Caenorhabditis elegans: one gene and its partners. The protein of the gene in region 3 interacts with the protein of the main gene of each other region in a pairwise test. Each region holds a gene or a part of one and is shown on either strand. Other genes may lie near its edges.

Region 1 (4,822 bases), 1.3 Mb from region 3:
TGCCTCCTATTCTTCTTCTTTCTTTCTGCTAACAAACACTAGAGATAAACGAAGAAGTGAACGCACACACACATACATGCAAGTTGCACAAATTATTTGTGCTCACGGAGCAACAATTTCAACGACTCGTGCCACACTTCAACGTGCTCCACAATCGTTGCTCGCCACTTCGCCCGACGCAACGTCTGATTCAGATGACAAGATTGTGCGGATCCTCGTCGAGGCGCTTCGTCGCAGTGACATGAGCATTATCGTCTCCGAATCTTTCGATCAGTGGGCCCGATTGGCCGTTGAGGTGAGTCTATGGGCTCCGCGAGCAGTTAATGGAAGCTTTTTGTAAGAGCTCGGCTGCTTTGGATTTATGGATTCCGAAATGAGAAAGAGCTATACGAGATTTAAAAAAATCCCATAATTCTGTCATTTCTAGATGGAGCTCAATTAGGATAATGAGCATTTCACCGTGGAAATGCATAATTTAGCTTTTCGTTCCCCAGCATAAAAATTCCCCCTAAGCTCAATTACCAGATTGATTGGCGAAAATGGGAGCTAGAATGCTCAAAAATGCTCAAAATTGTCTCAAAACTCCTATTTTGGATATTTTAGGACAAAATTTCAAAAAAAAATTATCGTTTACTTGGGGAACACACTATTAAGCTTTCTGGTAGTGAATTCGATCATCCTTGAACGCAGAATAAGATCTTGGCATAATCTTGCCGTGGGAAAATTGAACGTTCACGCGTGGTGTCAGAGTGTCTCATATGGGATTGATCTACATAGATCTACAAAAAATGCGGGAGAAGAGACACAGAATTCTCAACTGATTTCGTATGGTTAAGAACGTGCTGATGCCACATATTTTTGGACAACAAATTCCCGCATTTTTTGTAGATCAAACCGTGATGGGACAGCCTGGCATCACGTGTGTTCACGATAAAGCAGGAAATGCACCGAAACCAAGAATCGCTGCTCTTTATTCCAGGCCAAACGTCTTGGGCTCATTTCATTTGTGGAGGCCGCCTGCCCGTCAACCATTAGCATCTCTTGTCATGCGGCTCTCTCAACCGGACGTATCAATCCAGAAGTCACGTTTCGAAAGGTACACAATATCCATTTTATGGCTCAAAAAACAACAGGAAAAGCTTTCGCGTCATCAAATCCCGAACCAGTAAAGGGAACAACAACAAGCCCATTTTTCCTGCTCTCGTTTTTTTTTCCTTTTTTCTGTTCATTTCTCTTGCGGTTTTCTCCCATCAATTTTCCCCTATTATTGCTTATGAATACAGCAATAGGGGAATATGTATGTTAAGAGAAGAGAGACACACACAGACAAATGCTCATCATTTTTGACGTCGAGAAAAAGGATATTTTCAGGTTCTACGAATCGTCGTATCCGGAAAAGTAATCATGTGCCGAGCAGTGTTCGGCGATTCGTTGAACGAGTGTAGAGACGGAGGAGGCACGGATTTCGAGATGGATCGCTACACTTCTAGGTAGAGACAGGCTTTTTCGCGGCCAGAAATACTGAAAACCCGTCATGTAGATTTACGCGAAATTTACAGTTTCTAGCTATAATAGCTGATTTCTGAACCATTAAAAAATGTTCCGTCTCCGTTTGATCTACAAAAAATGCGTGCTGACGTGAAATTTTTTTGGGGAAAAATATCCGCATTTTTTGTAGATCACACCACACGGGGGAGTACACTAGCGGAAATCGACAGTTTCACAAGAAGAGCTCATAAGCTCTTTTTGAAACATAATATTTGAGCAGAACGATTGGTATTTCAGCACTACCAAATGACAAGTTAACCAGATTTCAAAGCTTCAACCCAATCCTCTCTTTCCAGATTCTTCCTAAAACACAGCAACTTAGAGAAAGCGTTCGACCAACTCGCGTCTTCCGGCTACCGACTTATTCATTCCAACACATTTGCGCCGTCCGAGATGCCAAAACATGCGGCGAAAGATGACTCGCAATTTATTCATCATTCTCAATTTGTTTTCCATCGACAGCCAAAGGTAGGAAATTGACGATGAAAAAAGTTAGAGCTGAGAATATCGAATTTTGAATTGAAATTGGTCTAATTTGATGTTAGGAAATCATTTTTTTTGTGAAAAAAAAAACACTAAACGTCGGAAAATTTCCCTGCTAACATCAAATTAGTTGATTTTTCCTTCAAAATTCGTCATTTTCATTGCATTAGCTTGTAGAAACCCCCACAATTCGTCCAGTAACGCCACTTTTCCCGGAAGTTGGTGAGGTGAACAAAAGGGAACTTTGTCTCTATCCGCTTAAAAGCTTTTTCCTTCTTCTTCTTCTTCCAATTTTCCCTTCAAATCAAATCACGGGCGGCTTCATCTTCTTTTCCCCCCGCTTTTACGTGCTCTTCCACCGGAACGTGTGTGCTCACAAGGGGAGCTCGAAAATGTCTGAGCCGTTGGAAATGGATTTTCGCCGGAAAAAAAGCAGCCAATTCTTCTTCAAGTTCCGTTCATCTCATTAGCCAGCGCCCTTTTTCTATGCATTTTGAGACGCTAATTTGATCACACAAGTGGTGAATAGAATGCACAATTTATGGGGGGAGGGGAGCCCTTTTTCTTTTTTCCGGGAAAGTTGGGCCGGAAATTCGAGAAGTATCGCTTTCAATTGGTGGGAAACCGAATTTATATATCGATTTTTTTGCAGCTTTGCCCTCCATCGGACACTGGTAGCAACTAGCAACGTGGACTTTTATTGCATTTTTCAAATAAATTGTTTTTTTTTGTAATTTTTCAATTTTGACAGGAGATTCGACGATAAATAAATACATCACACATTTTTACCTTATTCAAACGAACAGTGAGCACAACCTTGACTCCTTGAGTACTCAAACCACGCTTCTCGAGCTCTGTCTGCAAAAAGTGCATTTTATAGGGAATTTCCAGTGGAAAAAATGATTCACTTACCTTCAATTCACTAACACGCAAGTCATTGATCAATTTTCCGCTTTCCAACGGCATATTTTGCTCTGAAAATCGAAAATTTTCGGTGGAAAAAAATCGATAAAACACCAACTCGGCGACAACATGATTTTCGACGAAAATAACGGGCTTTTTTTTAGGCGGTTCAAACGATTGCCACGTAAGCAAATTCTTAATTTGGCGTGAAAAATTTAAAAAAAAAGAGAAAAATTGGATAATTTTACGCAGAAAAGATGAGAAATGAGAAAAAAAGAAATGCGCAGCGTTCGCGCAAGCTCACGAGAAACGCGCCAGCAACCACTGGTTGGCGCGTTTCGTGAAAAGCGAGGGAGATTCAAATTAGAATATTTTTGCAGGCCAAAAACGCAATTTTTCAAACGAATAATAAGAGAAAACCCATTTATTATAAACGAATTATGTAAAATTCAAGAAATTTATCGAATAAATTGAGGAAAAACTGCTAAAACTGCTGGAATTCCATGTCAAATTTCATAATTTAAATGTAAGCTCTCATTCCAAGCTGATCAGGTTCCTCCAGGAACTCGCAAATCGAGTCGACAAAGAATTTCGGGTCATCAGCATGAATCCAGTGGTTCGACCAGGCAGTTTCGGCGAATTGCACCTGTGAATTTGAATTTTTGAGCTTATTTTTCAAAATTTATCGATTTTTAGCCTATTGCTTGTCTTCACACCCTTCTAGATTATTTTCCCGCCATTTTTAAAGATCAAACTAGTCGAAAACCTTATATTTCCTTACCATTGGGAACATTTTCTCTACTCGATTCTTATGAGCCGCCGGAAGGAATCCCGAGCCAGGAGCCCGCTGGAACAGAGTCGGACCATCGAAAACTCCGAACCGAATGTCGTGGCTGAGCAGATAAATGTATGTCTCATCGATAACATTCAGATTGCATATCCAATGAGCTTTTCCGTTCACATCTTCACCCAAATTTCCGCGCACAAATTGGTAGAGCAGCACCTTTGACACTTTTTCGCCGAGCTCCGCCATCACTTCGCTTCGCGATTTGTTCATATCAGTGGCGATCATTTGTTTGATACATTCGAGGTATTCTGGAATAATTGGGGAGTTGTATTTCGAATTGATTTCCGGCAAATCGGCAAACTGCCGGAGTGGAAATTTCCGGCAAATCGGCAAATTGCCGGATTTGAAAATGCTCGGCCTATCGGTAAATCGGCGAATTGCCTGATTTCAAAATTTCCGGCAAATCGACAATTGCCAAAATTGAATCTTTTTGGCAAATCGGCAAACTGCGTGAATTGAAAATTGCCGGAATTGAAAATTTCCGGCAAGTTGCCTGATTTCAAAATTTCCGGCAATTCGACAATTGCCAAAATTGAAACTTTTTGGCAAATCGGCAAACTGCCGAAATTGAAATTTCCGGAAAATCGGCAAATTGCCGGATTGGACAATTTCCGGCAAATGGACAAATCGGCAATTGCCAAAATTGAAACTTATCGGAAAATTGGAGAATTGCCGAAAATAGAATTTCCGACAAATCGGCAAACTGCCGGAGTTGAAATTTCCGGCAAATCGGCAAATTGCCGGATTTGAAAATGCTCGGCCTATCGGTAAATCGGCAAATTGCCTGATTTCAAAATTTCCGGCAAATCGGCAAATGCCAAAATTGAAACTTTTTGGCAAATCGGCAACTGCCAAAATTGAAACTTTTCGGCAAATCGGCAAATTGGCGGATATGAAAAGTTGCCGCCAATTCGCCGATTTGCCGATAATTTTCAACTCCGGCAATTTTTCGATTTTCTGGAAAGTTGAATTCCGCTGACAATTTGCCGATTTGCCCATTTCCCGGTAATTTTTAATTCCGGCAATTTGCCGATTTGCCCA
Region 2 (4,163 bases), on a different chromosome or scaffold from region 3:
GAAGACCACCACGTGGTTTATCGCGTCAGCGTTTACAATTTCGCAGGTGAACTCCGTATCGGAGACCGGCACCACTTCGATCGGCGTCCTCCCTGAGACAATGACTCCAAAAATTCCAGACATTTTTAGTTTTTACTCTGAAAATATATCAATTTCTCAGCTCGCTGTCGTCCAGATCCAGATAAACATTTTTGTAAAGTTGAGACTTTTTTATTATTTTGGTTAAAAACAGCTTGAAAATTAAGCCAATTTGGTGTCAAACTCTGCATTCATTCTCTAGTTGAATGGATGTCAACTGTGCGAATTTAGAAATAAATTATATAAAAAAGACAGGGTAAAAAATTGAATAATAAACGAAACTTTCTGGAGAAAGGCAACAAGAAAAAGTACAGAAGATTTTGATGAGATAGCAGAGCAAAAATGGTTGAGAAGATCGATACAGAGGAGAGAGCACGGGAAGCTCAGACACGTTGGACACTTAGAGGGGCTTAAGGAATTAATTTAATAGTTTCTGTTTCCTCCTTGAGCATGAGCCCACTGCTGAGCACCGGATTGACCTCCCCAGCCGCCTTGCTGCTGGCCTTGGCCTCCCCAGCCACCGCCGCCGCCTCCTTGTTGAGGACCTCCCCAGCCTCCTTGCTGCTGTTGCTGTGGTCCTCCCCATCCGCCTTGACCGCCGCCGCCTTGCTGTCCCCAGCCACCACCTCCTTGCTGCTGTTGTGGGCCTCCCCATCCGCCTTGACCGCCGCCTCCTTGCTGTCCCCAGCCACCGCCGTAATCTGAAAGTTAATAATATTAGAATCGAGAATTCACAAGCCAGAATCCAACTACCTCCGCCATATCCTCCTTGGCCGCCACCTCCTGGTCCACCATATGCTCCTGGACCGCCGCGTTGAGCTGGTCCTCCCCAGCCGCCGCCGCCACCACCACCGCCATTGTAACCGCCACGCTGTCCATCGCGAGATCTTCCGCCACGGGTTTCACGATCGCGGTTCATCTGAGCCTTGCTCATCTCGTCCTTGGAGAGTCCTTTGCGCACGTCACATCTGTGTCCGTTGACCATATGGGATTTTTGAAGAACGCATTGATCCACAGAGTCATGATCATCGAAGGTGACGAATCCGAAGCCTCTTGGCTTTTGGGTGGCTTTGTCGAGAATAATCTCGGATTTGGTGACGGTTCCATACTTTGTGAAATACTCGGTGAGCATGTCCTCGGTGTGATCCTCACGAACTCCGCTGACGTACAGGCGTTTGGTGGAGACATTCGACTCGGAGCGGTTCTTATCATCACGTGGCACGGCACGCTTCGGGTCCACGGTCTTTCCGTCGATGATGTGCGGGCGTTGTTTCATGGCAGCATCGACTTCAGTTTTGCCAGAGAAGGTGACAAATCCGAATCCGCGGGATCTCTTGGTAGTTGGATCTCTCATGACGATGATATCAGTGATTTCTCCGAATTGTGAGTAGAACTCTCGCATCAGGTCATCGGTGGTGTTTGACGTGAGTCCTCCAACGAAAATCTTTCGAAGGTTCTCTGGCTCGAGCGAGGCATCTCCGCTTCCATTCTGAAAATAAAATCGATAATTAAATGATCGGGACCCAAATCAGGTGGCCTACACCCTAAAAGCAAGTGAACAAACGTAACCTCAGCCTTGATTTCCACGTCCGTCATGATCTAGTTCTTAGTAGTCGATCGGATTGTGCTAACAAGTAGTTCTTAGCTTATGAAGTAGGAAATAGACAGGCTAGTTTCACGGTGTAACTACCTATCGAACGCTATTACTCACAAAGAGTGACAGAGGTGTTGATCACTGAAATAGGTACAAGTTAGAGTAAAGATAAATCTAAAAATAGATTATTAAGTTAAATATAGACGCCATGCACGAGTAGACTATTCGTGGAAAATAACAAATCGATAAATATCTGAGAAATAAGACTATTTTAGCGAGTTTTATTCGTATTTAATCAAAGATTACGGATAAATTCGAGCTAAAACTACACAACAATTAGATTATCTGAATTAAAATGAAGAATTACGCGAAAACAGTGCGCGGAAAACCTGTAAAACATACCTTTTTGTGACGAAAACCGAGAGAGAATGCTCTCGAAAACCACAGAGAAAAGGGTTACACGCGACGCGCCGCATTCCTAACCGCGTCGCGTCGCGTCTGTTCGCGGCGAGACCCGAGTCGATAAATGTGTGTGCCTTTAAGAAAAAAAGGAGGGAAACTTTATTTTTTGAATTTAGTTAAATTTTTACAAATTAAAAAAATAACTTTTAAAAAGTATTTTCAATACCAAATTCCAATTTTGGAATTTTTGTTTAAAAAACGTTAAAATTCTTCTACAAATTTTAAGAAAAATATTTCTACAAATTTTTATGAAAATCAACTAGTTTATAATGGCTTTTCGGATTTTTCACAAGGAAGATGAACATTTTGATTTCTTTGACATTTTTTCACGAAAAAAACGTTCAAATAATCTTTGAATCCTTTATTTTTCTCGAAATTCTCACGATTTCTTATGAAAAATAATGTTTTAATTTATAATTAATGTGGTACTGTAGGGATACTGTTGGTTTACTGTAGTTTAGGAAAAATGTAGTTCTTAGCTGTTGAAGAGATATATTGGGCTGGGAGTTGGGCGAGGAAAAATAATGTCAAGGTACATACAGTAGTGGGATAATGCAGGATTACGGTAGGACTACTGTAATTTGGAAATTTTTTATACCATGTGATTTTTCTGAAACAGAAGCATCCCAGCGCTGCGCAGAAAAAAGAGATATTCATACCTGTTTTAGGTTTATAAAAATATTATACTGGTAAGACTAGGGCTGTCATATTTGGCGTCCGGTCGTCCGGTTTTGACAGGTTATCAATAGACTTTAATAATTTTCCAAAATTTTCAAACATCTAAAACCAGACGCACAAGGTTCTGACGCCGGACGTCCGATATGCCAGCCGTAGGTAAGACTGGTTAAATATGAAACAACGATTTACTTAAGTAACAGAAAAAGGTTTGATAGACATGTAAACGTATTAGAGCAACCATTGAAACTTCACCATCCATCTTGCCTTTGACGTATACGCTCGTGGATTGGCCGTTCGTCTCTACGACGTGGTGGATTAGCTCCCTTGTGCTTGTGGATTTCAAGCTTGTTTTTTGTTATATTGATCACAAAACTGGAATCAGTTCCCACCGGTCTGAACTCTCTTCCTCTATAAATTAATAGGTGATTCGGCGTAAAGACGTTCTCAATGGCTTCTTTTTCAAGTAGTTGAACATCGATAGTTGCTGACTCGAAGCTGGGCGATCTGAGGAGAATCTGGAATATAGAATACATTACAAAACGCTACTTTAACTACCAACTCACATCTCTTATCTGAACAGCATCATCGATTGATAGAGTCTGAAGACCGATGGAGAACTGGTCAAAGTGGAAAAATCTTTGAATAGGAATGTTCATTCTACCACCAATGCACAGAAAATGTTTCGCTTGCTTCCACTGCTCGAGATTTGCAATTTCTTCACTCATCTCCTGGCTAGCTGAGCAATAACAAGAATACATGCGGATTTTCTCGAGATAACCTGGGCGAAAGTACTTCACCATCGAAATATTGTCCACAAAGTCGATTCCAGTCACTTCAAGCACCTTCGCATGTGGTAAGTTCATAGCCTTGAAGCAGTCATCCACAGATTGCATATTCTCTTTCCCAGATAACCCAACCAGTCCATATGTGTTATCAAAACTGAACTTTCTTAGTCTAAGTTTCGGCATGCCCATCACGTCGGATAGCTCACCGAAGGCTGCCCTCATCAGCCTGTTACTACCAGTGACTTCTTGCCAGGCAGCCAGGTTTTCTAGATTCAATTCTCTATATCCGGTAAAAACTACACTACGGACTGGCAGAACTGAGTAAATGAATTTTCTCAATGCCTGGATCCATCAAATCGATGGTTTGGCGAAAGAGTGGTGACACATGGCGAGCGACTATGCTGAAATTGTAAATTTAGAATGCCATAGATTTTTTTTTGTTAGGCACATACAACTGACAATCTCTTGAACAACACTATATGAATACGACTTTTCTGGTTTTGGTCTGAAAAGAAATTCAGGTATAATTAAAAATGATTTGTGGTTAAACTTACAATTGTAGCATC
Region 3 (5,274 bases):
GATATATCTAAAATTTTGAAACTACAGTACTCTTTGAGGCGCACACCCGTTTGTATTTAACAAAAAATTGTCGTGACGAGACCAGGAACGGTATTTTTGGTGCCAAAATTTTTTATTGCCGGTTTTGAAATAAAAACAATTAATTTTTAAAAAAATTGATATAACAGTACTCGTTATAAAGCAGAATTCAGAATCCTTCTCCAAAAGCCTCAAGGTACCGTAATCCAGAGAAAGGCGTCAAAAATGAAAACATAGACAAACGAAAGAAAGTTGTGAGCATACAAATAGACACACACAATGCTCATCATCGTTTTCTCAGCAACAAAGGATTCTTCATGGGCGTGACTATCTTTTGCTCATGAAGGAGAGAGACGTCTTCAAAACGCAATTAAGGGCATACGGTAAAACGTTTGAGCAGCAGTTGTCGCGCGCAAATCAGATTGCGTGAAGCTCTTGTTTGATGCGGGACACACATGCTAAATTGTCTTCTGAATAGCACCTCAAATTGTGCGGCGCTCATCTGAAGACACACTTGTCACGTCATTTATTATTAAAACTTTTATTTGTCACCATCCTGCCAGAGGAAAATATGAGAAATAGTTTTAGAGTGATGAAAATGAGGAAGATGTTTTAAATTATTGAGATTCCGTTGACAAGGAAGCCTTTTTAAAGGGATAAGGAAGGATAGAGATGGAGAAAAAACGGATAAAATAAAGATAATAGATGATGATTCAAGAGAAACGTGAGAAGTTTCAAATACAAATATAACAGGGGGAATGAATTAGGCGTAGTCAACGCTGATCATGCGGCCTTCGACAGTGGATCCATAGAGGGCAGCACGAGCACGTTCAGCGTCTTGGAAAGTTGCAAAACGAATGCGAGCAGCTCCTGGCGCCATCATATCAACAGAGTCGACTTCTCCGAAGTTTCGAACACGGTCACGGACAATTTGCCAGGTATAATCGCTTGGAAGCTGAATAACAGATCATAAATGAGAACAAATTGAAATTTGAATTGAAAACTTACGTTGCGAATGATAATAACCCTTGTTGCCTGGGGTGTCGCAGCACCGGCGAGTCCACCAGCTCCATTGACACCAAAGACGTCAGGTTGAGCAAATGTGGCTCCACCAGCACCACCAACACCAGCATTTCCTCCAAATGGTCCATTGTTCATGACGGATCGGGCAAAGTTGGCTTGTTCAACGACTCCTCCAAAACCACCAGCCGAAACAACTTGTGGTCCACCTACGAATGGGGCAGCTGGAGCTGTGAACTGAAATATAGATAATTAAATTAACTTTTAAAAATTTTATAATTGAGTATTTGTTATCAAGAGTTTCATCGAACATTTTTTGTGCTTTTTTCAGAGAAAGTTCCGTTTGTTCTGAAAATCGAAAAACATGTTTAGCAAATTGGAATATAAAAACCCATTTTTGTATTAAGTTTTCAGATTGTTGATGGGGAAAAACATAAGAAAACATATCGTTTTCTTATAAAAGGCCATTTTTCGAAAAATCAAAATGTTGGAAACCCGAAAATTTCTGTTTAAAAAAAATTAATTTTTCGATTTAAAAAAATCTAAAACCACCATTGAATGCTAGTATATACCACACCGATGAAATTTGTTTTAAATCGCTTACCGGCACTGAAGCATCTCCTGGGAACATTCCATGAACATTGGAAAGTGGTGCTCCTTCTGCTCCAAGACCCATTCCGATTGACTCAAGACCTCGTGGAAGTCCACCTTCTTTGTGCTCCAGTTCCTTATCGAATCTATCCATTTTCACAACCAGATTTCGATCAAAAAGTCGCTGACCATTGAGCATCGAAACGGCTTGTACGGCTTCAATTGGGTGAGTGTATTGAATTACGCATACTCCCTGGAAGACACCATTTATATTTTATAGGAACTATAAATATTAACAAACCTTTGACTTTCCTTCTTTATCAATGCGGAAGTCCATCCAGGTGATTTTACCGGCCATACCGAAGACTTCGTAAAGCTTATCGGTTCCGACATTGAAAGCCAACTGAAAATGTTTGATTAATAATATTGTCTTGGAAACAGAAGTGGAATTTCGGAAATTCTATAAAATGACATATTTCGCCATGTTAAATATAGAAAATCACTTTTTTAAATCTGAAAATAACACTTATTTCAGATAAAACACTTGGAAAAGCGCTTCAAAAATACCAGGATGTTGCAAATTGCCGATCATCAAATTGTTGAATTATCGTTTCTCGGCAAATGGCAACTTTTGGTCATTTTCGCGCACTTTTCCAAATGTTTAAAACGAGATAATTTTTTTTTAATTTTCAGATAAATCAAGTGATTATCTACATTTTCAGACTAATTTTTGATGAAAACTTTTGAAAAAAACATGTCGCAATAGGTCATTTTGTAGCATTTCCGAAAATAATTGCCAACCACCTCTGATTGGGAACTAAGAATGGTATTTAGTAACTGAATTAGTGATGCTATATTTTATTCGTATGATACTGAGAGATCTACCCGGAGGATGCAACTGTCTGAACAAACTATAATAAGCACTGATTCCATTTTGTTGTATATAATTCCACGTAGAAAGCTTCCTACTACTATTCCGTTTAAAAACACCAAAATGAAAAATTGCATTTATTTCTCCCATTCGAATAATTTCATATCTCAAAACTGAGATAAAGACCCAGCAAGTGAACGTGGTCTAGATGTGGAGCCCTTCGAGAAGAAGAATATTTGAAACCTACATTGGCGATGAAGATGCGCTCACAGAGTGGCGGTTCAATGTTGTGTTGGCGAAGGAATTCCATATTGAGACCGAATAAATCATAAGTTCCAGTTCGAGTAGGGCGATCAAGATCTTTTGGTGGAGGACCTCGTCCTCCTGCACCACCACCTCCGGTACGAGACAAGTAATCAATGCCTGTTTCAGTTTTGATGGTTCGGAAGAAAGCATTCGGATCCTACAGAAAAAATAAAAAATGGATGAAAATTTCTGAATGTGAGTGTCAAAATTAAATAGATACGGACCCGAATTTCTTTGGCGATGATGGTTCTTCCCTTCCAGTCGAACTTTTGTAGATTCTCAACGCATTTTTCGGCACCCTCACGAGTTTCGAACTCAACCACAGCGTTACCCTTTGGCTTGCCGTTACGGTCTTCGAGCAACTCGCAGAAAGCGACTTCACCTCCTTTCTCGCGAACTAGACTTTTCAAATCGACCCAACGAGCCTCATAGGCGATATTGGTGATAAAAACCATTCGGTTGTTCGATGATGAGTTCCCATTGTTACTTCCAACAGCAGCGCCGATACGACCTTAAGGAAATGGAAAATAGAGAAGGATTTCTATGGAAAAAATGGTGGAAACGGGAATGAAGAATATCAAAAACTATACTTCTTCTTGGACTTCTGGATCGGCTCCGACGCTCTCGCTTAACATCACGCTGTGGTCCGTCTCGACGATTTCTGTTCATGTTGGCTGATGGAACACGGATCTTGGATTAAGCTTTCTGAATGAGTTGAACTAGAATCAATTAGACGATAAGCAAATGTTTTCATATAACAACGGGCTTCTTTAAAAAACAATTGAAATTTTATTTCCATTTTGATTGCTAACAAGTCGAAAATTAATTGTAACTAAAATAATCTGCTCGCTGAGTGGCCCATTTTTATTGTTGAAAGAGATAAAAGATTATTTACTGAACTGTCTCGCCAATGTAATACTTGATTTGACATCGAATTGAAAAACTATGTTACAACAATGATCGAAAACTTATGCACAGATGAGTAAAAAGTTTTGTGATCGCACCTTATTTGCTTCTTTACTTACAAATAGGCCACTCGAGCAAAATTTGACTTGATATCTTACAGAAAGACTAGAATGCTCTAAACTCTCTTAAAATTCCCGAACCGAAAATTAAGTTTTCAAAAAGAGGAACAATTTCGAAATTTATCTATCGGAGCAATTCTCTGAAACATCTTGGAGATTTTCCGACTGATAATGCATATTTAAGCCGCGAGAACCATTTAGCAAATTTTAAAACAAAAAAACGTTTGATTTAACGAAGAAAATAAAGAAAAATAAATACGATAAAAGAGAGAAAAATCGAAATTCGAAAAGAAGAGACGGCGGCAAACACAAGTGTGCATTTGTGCGTCGAGACGAGCCGCACAGCCGACATCAGATTTGACGCCACAAATCGCCGCGAAAAGTGAAGGCTTTTTCTTTGCTGCTAAGCCAGTATTCTGGATCTTTTACGATTTTTTTTTCATTTTCGATAGCATGGTTCTGTGAAACAAGATCTCTGTTCTCTTTGAAACACTCTATTCTATAATTTATTTTATTCTTCAATTGTTTCTTCCATGTTTCCCTAAAAATAATTTTGTTCGTTAATTGTCAATAGGATTTTTATGAACTGAATTCAGTGTCAAATTTCGGAGAAAGAATAGAAAACGTTTTTTGTGAGATAAGCTGCCTCTCGTTTTGTTTTGCCTCCGCATGACAGATTTATTCTCAATTTCACACTAAAAATTATTAATAATTGTACAATTTAGTTTTGCTTCAAGTTCTATAACAACGCGTTTTTGTTTTTTTTTCACAATTCATGCGCTAGCTGTCCAAAAATATTCAAAATGTTTATAGAATAGGTGATTCAACACCAACATTTCAAACTATCGTTCACAAGTCACATTCCAAATGACTAACGTCCATATAAAGTTTCTGATATTGCTCCAATCGTCCCAAATGTCTTATCATATACACTTCATGACGTGTTTTCCCTATTCTTTCTCTTTTCCCGCCGATGACCATGTCTCTCCCTTCTATTCCTCTAGGTTTCACCATACGAATATCAAATCGTATATACATTTAAAAGCCGACGCCTTCTACCATGTCGAACAGTAATCGCATGGAACTAGTTAGTCTTTTCCCAATCGCCGTCATTTCCCTCACTTTTATTCCTTACACTAGATTTTATTATTGATAGAACTGAAATCTTGGTCTTATGTTAACGACAAAAATCGTGCCTCGTTTCATTTTAAATGCAAAACTACCTGCCGTTTATTGCCGCCGTCAAGAGAACAATTCGCACTAGGTTGAGAAGGGCAAAGGTCTTTTATGACCTTTTACGCCCGGGAAGTGAGAAATACCAGAAATCACCTTTTATTTCGATCTATAACTCGAACTTTTAATTTTTCATCTTTAACCAGTGTAGGTTTATTTATTGAATAGATTTGTGTTCCACTCATCTCTTCGGTCAACAGATTTGTTTTC
Region 4 (4,320 bases), on a different chromosome or scaffold from region 3:
AATTGAGAAGAATGAAAAGTCGAGCTTTGATGACGTCATCACGGGTGCCGAATCGGATAATGGTTGGGAGGATTGTTTGAGAGAAACTGAAAGTGTTCAAAGTCAATGGATCACTGAACAATCCACCATTGCTTATCCAGAAACTACACGTGTCAATTGTGATGGTCCACAAAGTTATTATGAATTGGCTGATTTGAATTATAAGCCAGCAGAGAATACTGTTCGTTTGGCTCGTGTCCCATCACAGTACCAACTTGATGCTTTGTCCGAGATTTTCGTTTTCGATGTTCCTCAACATATTGCCGTTAAAAAAGTTGAAGCTTCATTTCTGCCGAAATATGTGAACACGAGTTCCGAGGTTGCCCAGAATTCTGTGAACACGACGCCATACTTTGTGAATTCGGAGTACGTTTCTGAGATGTTGTGCAATGAATACTCGGAAACTTACTAACTTTTTGTGCCTCTTGTCTTACCAATTCTTGAGAATGAACTAGTTTTTTAGTCGATTTAATTTCAGGTTTTTTATTCAGAGATTGTAGAATTGCATTATTAAAAATACAGCATAAAATCGCAAAGTGCGTCGACATGAAAATTGTAGGGGTCTAGTAAATGTGAGAGAACAATACTAATGACAAATTGTCAGACAAGAAAATTGAGAAAAGTGTAGAAAAATATGAATAATAACGATTTTTCGAGAGAATCACCATCCTGGTCCTCTCGAGTCTCCAGGTGCCCAGTATCTCCTCTCGAGGGGAGAATTTTGCTGACGGTATGAGTAATCTTGTGGTGGGCGGACGAATGGCATGGGCAGAGGTGCTTCATTTTGAATCGGTCGTCTATCCGGTCGATCACGTTCTCTGCGGTTACGGTAGCCAGCTGGAAGGCCATAATCAGGGCCAACTGATTGATTATTCTCTTCTCGAGGCTGTGCGATGCTCAATCCAACTGATAAACCGTTGACAGTTAGCGATCCTTTGCTGAAAATTATATTTCTTACTAGAATGAAAAATATGAGTGCTTAAAAGTGATGCTACACCGGAGACAGTTATTTTTAACAGGTTTTCCAAAAAATTAGCAATACCTGACAATTCTTTCCGCGGCTTCGGCGCTCGACAGCGTAACGAATGCAAAGCCTCTGAATGGTTTTGGGATGAACACATCGGTAACTACTGCAGTCTCTATATAGCTTTTTGCTTCATCTCCAAACACTTTTCGCAGTTGATGTTCGTCTACTTTGTCTGTGAGCCTTCCGACAAAAATTCGACTGATTGATGGACGACCTTGTTTGTCCTGCAAACTCTGCTCAACTTATTAGTTTTAATTGATCAGTATAATAACATACCCTTCCATCTGGAACTTTCACATCACAACGACGACCATCAATCATGTGCTGTGGGATAGCTAATACTTTATTTTGTTCACCGACTGATGACATTCTGACAAATCCAAATCCTTTTGAGTTTCCATCCGACTTTCGTTTTATCTGAAGAAGAATATTGAATATGTATTTTTAATGGAACCTATGTGAACTTAATTCTCTCACTTTCAGATTCCTTCACTCATCTCACGAACCTCACAGAACACAACAGTTCCTATATCTTCGAAGTATTTCTGAAAGCACTCGTCAGTCGTTTTGAAGTCCACACCGAGCACGATGAGGTCAACTGGCTGGCTGTCTCTCTCAACCGCTCTCTTCCTGCCCGAACGTCCGTCACGACCGTCATCCGAATCCGAGTCGTCACTCGATCCCACTTTACGTCTCTTCGCACTCGTCGCGTCAGCTGATGACAACGCTCTGACTCTCTCGCTCTCTGAATCACACTACGTCACTCGAACGTCTTCACTCAGACTGTCACATAAACCGTCTCTACTCAAAAGCTTGAATTTTGGTGAAACTAGTTAATATAAAACAAAAACAACTTACGCGGGGCAACAATAACGAAGAACGTTTTATTTTCCCAGCCGTCAGCTGGAGCAATTAATTTCAAACCACTGGGATCGACTCTGGAAAATAAAATAAATTTTAAGTCAGTATACCTCCACCAAGCACTCACTGAACAGCTCGGTTGGCTCCAGTTTTTGGATTTTTGTACTTCAAACCAGTAGCACCCGGAAACGATGCTTGCAATGTAGTCATCAAGACAACACCATCAACGGTAGGAAGTTCTATTGGCTCATCTCCATTTGGATCTTGTACTGTGATGAATTCCGGGTCCGTGGTTTTCTTTTCGTCACTCCCAGTTTGTGTCTGGAAAACATGAACATGGGATATTAGCAACTGTACGAATTATTATTAACTTACCAGTTCTGCCTCTTTTCGAATTTCCTTAACTTCATCCAAGGGTGATTTAACCTCGGCCGCAGGTTCTGTTTTAACCTTCGGCGTTTCGTCGGCCATTTAGTGACTGGAAACAGATATATTTGAAATAATAACAAATTTACTAAAATAATGAATTATTTGTATCTATTTTTAATCAATAAAACCAATAAATTGAGCCAAAAATCTCCGAGCAAAAATCTTGTAAATTAATTACACAAATGGTGTGCAAACACCATGACGCACATATGCACACATTTTCACACCGTACCTCTCAGAAACTAGGCGTCTCTGAATTACAAAAAAAACCTTCTTTTGCCCATTAATGATCATTTTATTCTCTGAAACTTGACAATTGACTATTATTCAAACATGGAAGGTGACAAAAATGTGGTGATGAGTTCAAAACCGACAGGGAAAGCCAATTGGAAAATAAAGTAAGTGTTGTTCACCAGCGTTAAAATTAAAATTATTAACTTTCAGATTCCACAAAATTCTGTCATATCCTATGAAAAGAACTGGTCCTGCAATTGTAGCTTCAACGCTTCTCTACATAGTAATGTACAATGTTGGAGTCCGGTAATAAAACATTGTAATTGATTCATTTTTAACTGAAATACTTATTTCAGGTGGTGGAAAGGCGACAAACATCCAGTAAATCGGTTTATGTGGAAGATACAAGAACAAGAAGGAAGGCTAGATCCTACTCTTCAAGCGAAAAAACAAGTTGTAAGACTAAATTTCCGCTCGAAATAGTTTTTCATTCGTCTTTTTTCAGGTTCTTTCCTACCAAGAAGAGCGAGTTTATCGTCCACGAGACAATGTGCCGGACCTTGGAATAGTTTAGGTTATTTGGTTATAGATTAGAAATAAATAATTATATTTTTAAAATGTTCGTATTCGAAGCCACTTTATTGAATTACAATCAGGCATACAGGAAACGGTTAAAAATAAAAGTCAAGTCGTTTCAAGAAGAATGAGACTATGAATGAACTAAAAACATTCTGTCAACTATTTATCGATAAGTTCCATATTCTTTCTTGTGGTTGCCCCAGTATTCTGGATCTTCGGCAGAATCCTTTGGAATTCCGAGCTCTTCATCCGTGAACTCGCTCAAGTATGGCATGTACCAATGTCCCAAGAGATGGCCAGAATGATAGTACATGTGGTACGAGAACCACGCCCAAATGACAGCTGAGATGAAATAGGTTACACAACGATCGATGTAGGTTCGACCAGTTGTTGGAGTACGGTAGAAGTAATCTGGAATTGGCTTATCCCCCTTCGAGATGGTACCGCGGTAGTCTCCATCATAGGTGTGCAATTCTGGATTCTCCGAAGCTCCCATCTTTCCTCCAACTGGAACATTTGGACCAACAGCATCAGATCCCCAAGCAAATCGATTTCTAGAATAAAAAATAAATCTATACTATTCGGAAAGAAAATTTACCGAACAAAAGTCAGACGAGATGGGGAATTGACGAGTCCTCGATTGCGGAGGTGCTGCAGAGCCAACTGAGCAACGAATTTGTTCCCCAACATGGTCAGAACCTGAATAAATTCTGCGAATATATATAATAATAAAATATCATCAGAATAGATAATTATCGGTCAGAAACCTTAGAGGTAACAGTTTAAAAAAATTGCATCAAATTATATTATTCAATAACATCAACAAAACAACAAAATAAAAGCAGTAACAAAGATGATAGGGTTGCATGGGAGAGATTGAGATATTTGTTCAAAACTTCAAAAACCTTAGTAAGGATAAAATTGGGGCTTCGAATTTTTTTGCAACCTTTGAAAAACGAATAATAGTAATCAGAGGAAGAAACGACGACGACTGGTTTCCATTTCGTGTCTCTGAAATTTTTAATAATTTTCATTCAATTAATTTTAAATAAATCCATACCTTGAGGACCCATTCGAATTCTCCCCACTTTGCGTCGAAAGTACCCTTCTGTAGCCACTTAAGTCTTAATGTGAATCGAGGACCCAACTCC

The links.
Region 1: the proteins of sup-46 (region 3) and phm-2 interact in a two-hybrid assay, tested with the Caenorhabditis elegans proteins (one large-scale study listed by BioGRID).
Region 2: the proteins of sup-46 (region 3) and hrpa-1 interact in a two-hybrid assay, tested with the Caenorhabditis elegans proteins (one large-scale study listed by BioGRID).
Region 4: the proteins of sup-46 (region 3) and tdp-1 interact in a two-hybrid assay, tested with the Caenorhabditis elegans proteins (one large-scale study listed by BioGRID).

Annotation. Positions count from the first base shown.
Region 1 is NC_003279.8:11,515,741-11,520,562, reverse strand, and holds the start of phm-2 (Pharyngeal muscle protein 2), read right to left. Parts: upstream 3,006-4,822; 5' UTR 2,998-3,005; coding exon 2,944-2,997; intron 2,890-2,943; coding exon 2,821-2,889; intron 2,816-2,820; exon of another isoform or gene 2,717-2,815; coding exon of another isoform or gene 2,684-2,716; intron 2,017-2,683; coding exon of another isoform or gene 1,845-2,016; intron 1,491-1,844; coding exon of another isoform or gene 1,372-1,490; intron 1,097-1,371; coding exon of another isoform or gene 980-1,096; intron 590-979; exon of another isoform or gene 461-589; intron 296-460; coding exon of another isoform or gene 77-295; exon of another isoform or gene 1-76. Other genes in the region: F32B4.5 (KCTD8/12/16 H1 domain-containing protein), read left to right, coding at 77-295, 980-1,096, 1,372-1,490, 1,845-2,016, 2,684-2,716; abhd-11.1 (AB hydrolase-1 domain-containing protein), read right to left, coding at 3,455-3,580, 3,716-4,029.
Region 2 is NC_003282.8:3,336,732-3,340,894, forward strand, and holds hrpa-1 (Heterogeneous nuclear ribonucleoprotein A1), read right to left. Parts: upstream 2,115-4,163; 5' UTR 2,075-2,114; intron 1,814-2,074; 5' UTR 1,675-1,813; coding exon 1,648-1,674; intron 1,568-1,647; coding exon 829-1,567; intron 780-828; coding exon 502-779; downstream 1-501. Other genes in the region: F42A6.6 (Hikeshi-like domain-containing protein), read right to left, coding at 1-123. UniProt on the Caenorhabditis elegans protein: This protein is a component of ribonucleosomes. Overexpression gradually increases telomere length, leading to increase lifespan.
Region 3 is NC_003279.8:10,169,093-10,174,366, forward strand, and holds sup-46 (RRM domain-containing protein), read right to left. Parts: upstream 3,512-5,274; 5' UTR 3,476-3,511; coding exon 3,397-3,475; intron 3,318-3,396; coding exon 3,031-3,317; intron 2,964-3,030; coding exon 2,748-2,963; intron 2,033-2,747; coding exon 1,931-2,032; intron 1,883-1,930; coding exon 1,643-1,882; intron 1,276-1,642; coding exon 1,027-1,275; intron 974-1,026; coding exon 782-973; 3' UTR 547-781; downstream 1-546.
Region 4 is NC_003280.10:8,995,912-9,000,231, reverse strand, and holds tdp-1 (Tar DNA-binding protein homolog 1), read right to left. Parts: upstream 2,408-4,320; 5' UTR 2,399-2,407; coding exon 2,303-2,398; intron 2,249-2,302; coding exon 2,055-2,248; intron 2,005-2,054; coding exon 1,925-2,004; intron 1,822-1,924; exon of another isoform or gene 1,812-1,821; coding exon 1,573-1,811; intron 1,484-1,572; coding exon 1,343-1,483; intron 1,300-1,342; coding exon 1,082-1,299; intron 978-1,081; coding exon 701-977; 3' UTR 510-700; downstream 1-509. Other genes in the region: F44G4.5 (uncharacterized protein), read left to right, coding at 1-451; F44G4.3 (uncharacterized protein), read left to right, coding at 2,690-2,754, 2,801-2,896, 2,947-3,046, 3,096-3,164; ndub-2 (putative NADH dehydrogenase [ubiquinone] 1 beta subcomplex subunit 2, mitochondrial), read right to left, coding at 3,333-3,723, 3,768-3,859; Brix domain-containing protein F44G4.1, read right to left, coding at 4,139-4,180, 4,230-4,320. UniProt on the Caenorhabditis elegans protein: RNA-binding protein which regulates transcription, splicing and RNA-editing. Limits the accumulation of double-stranded RNA by maintaining the abundance of the mature RNA transcripts that are formed from double-stranded precursor RNAs.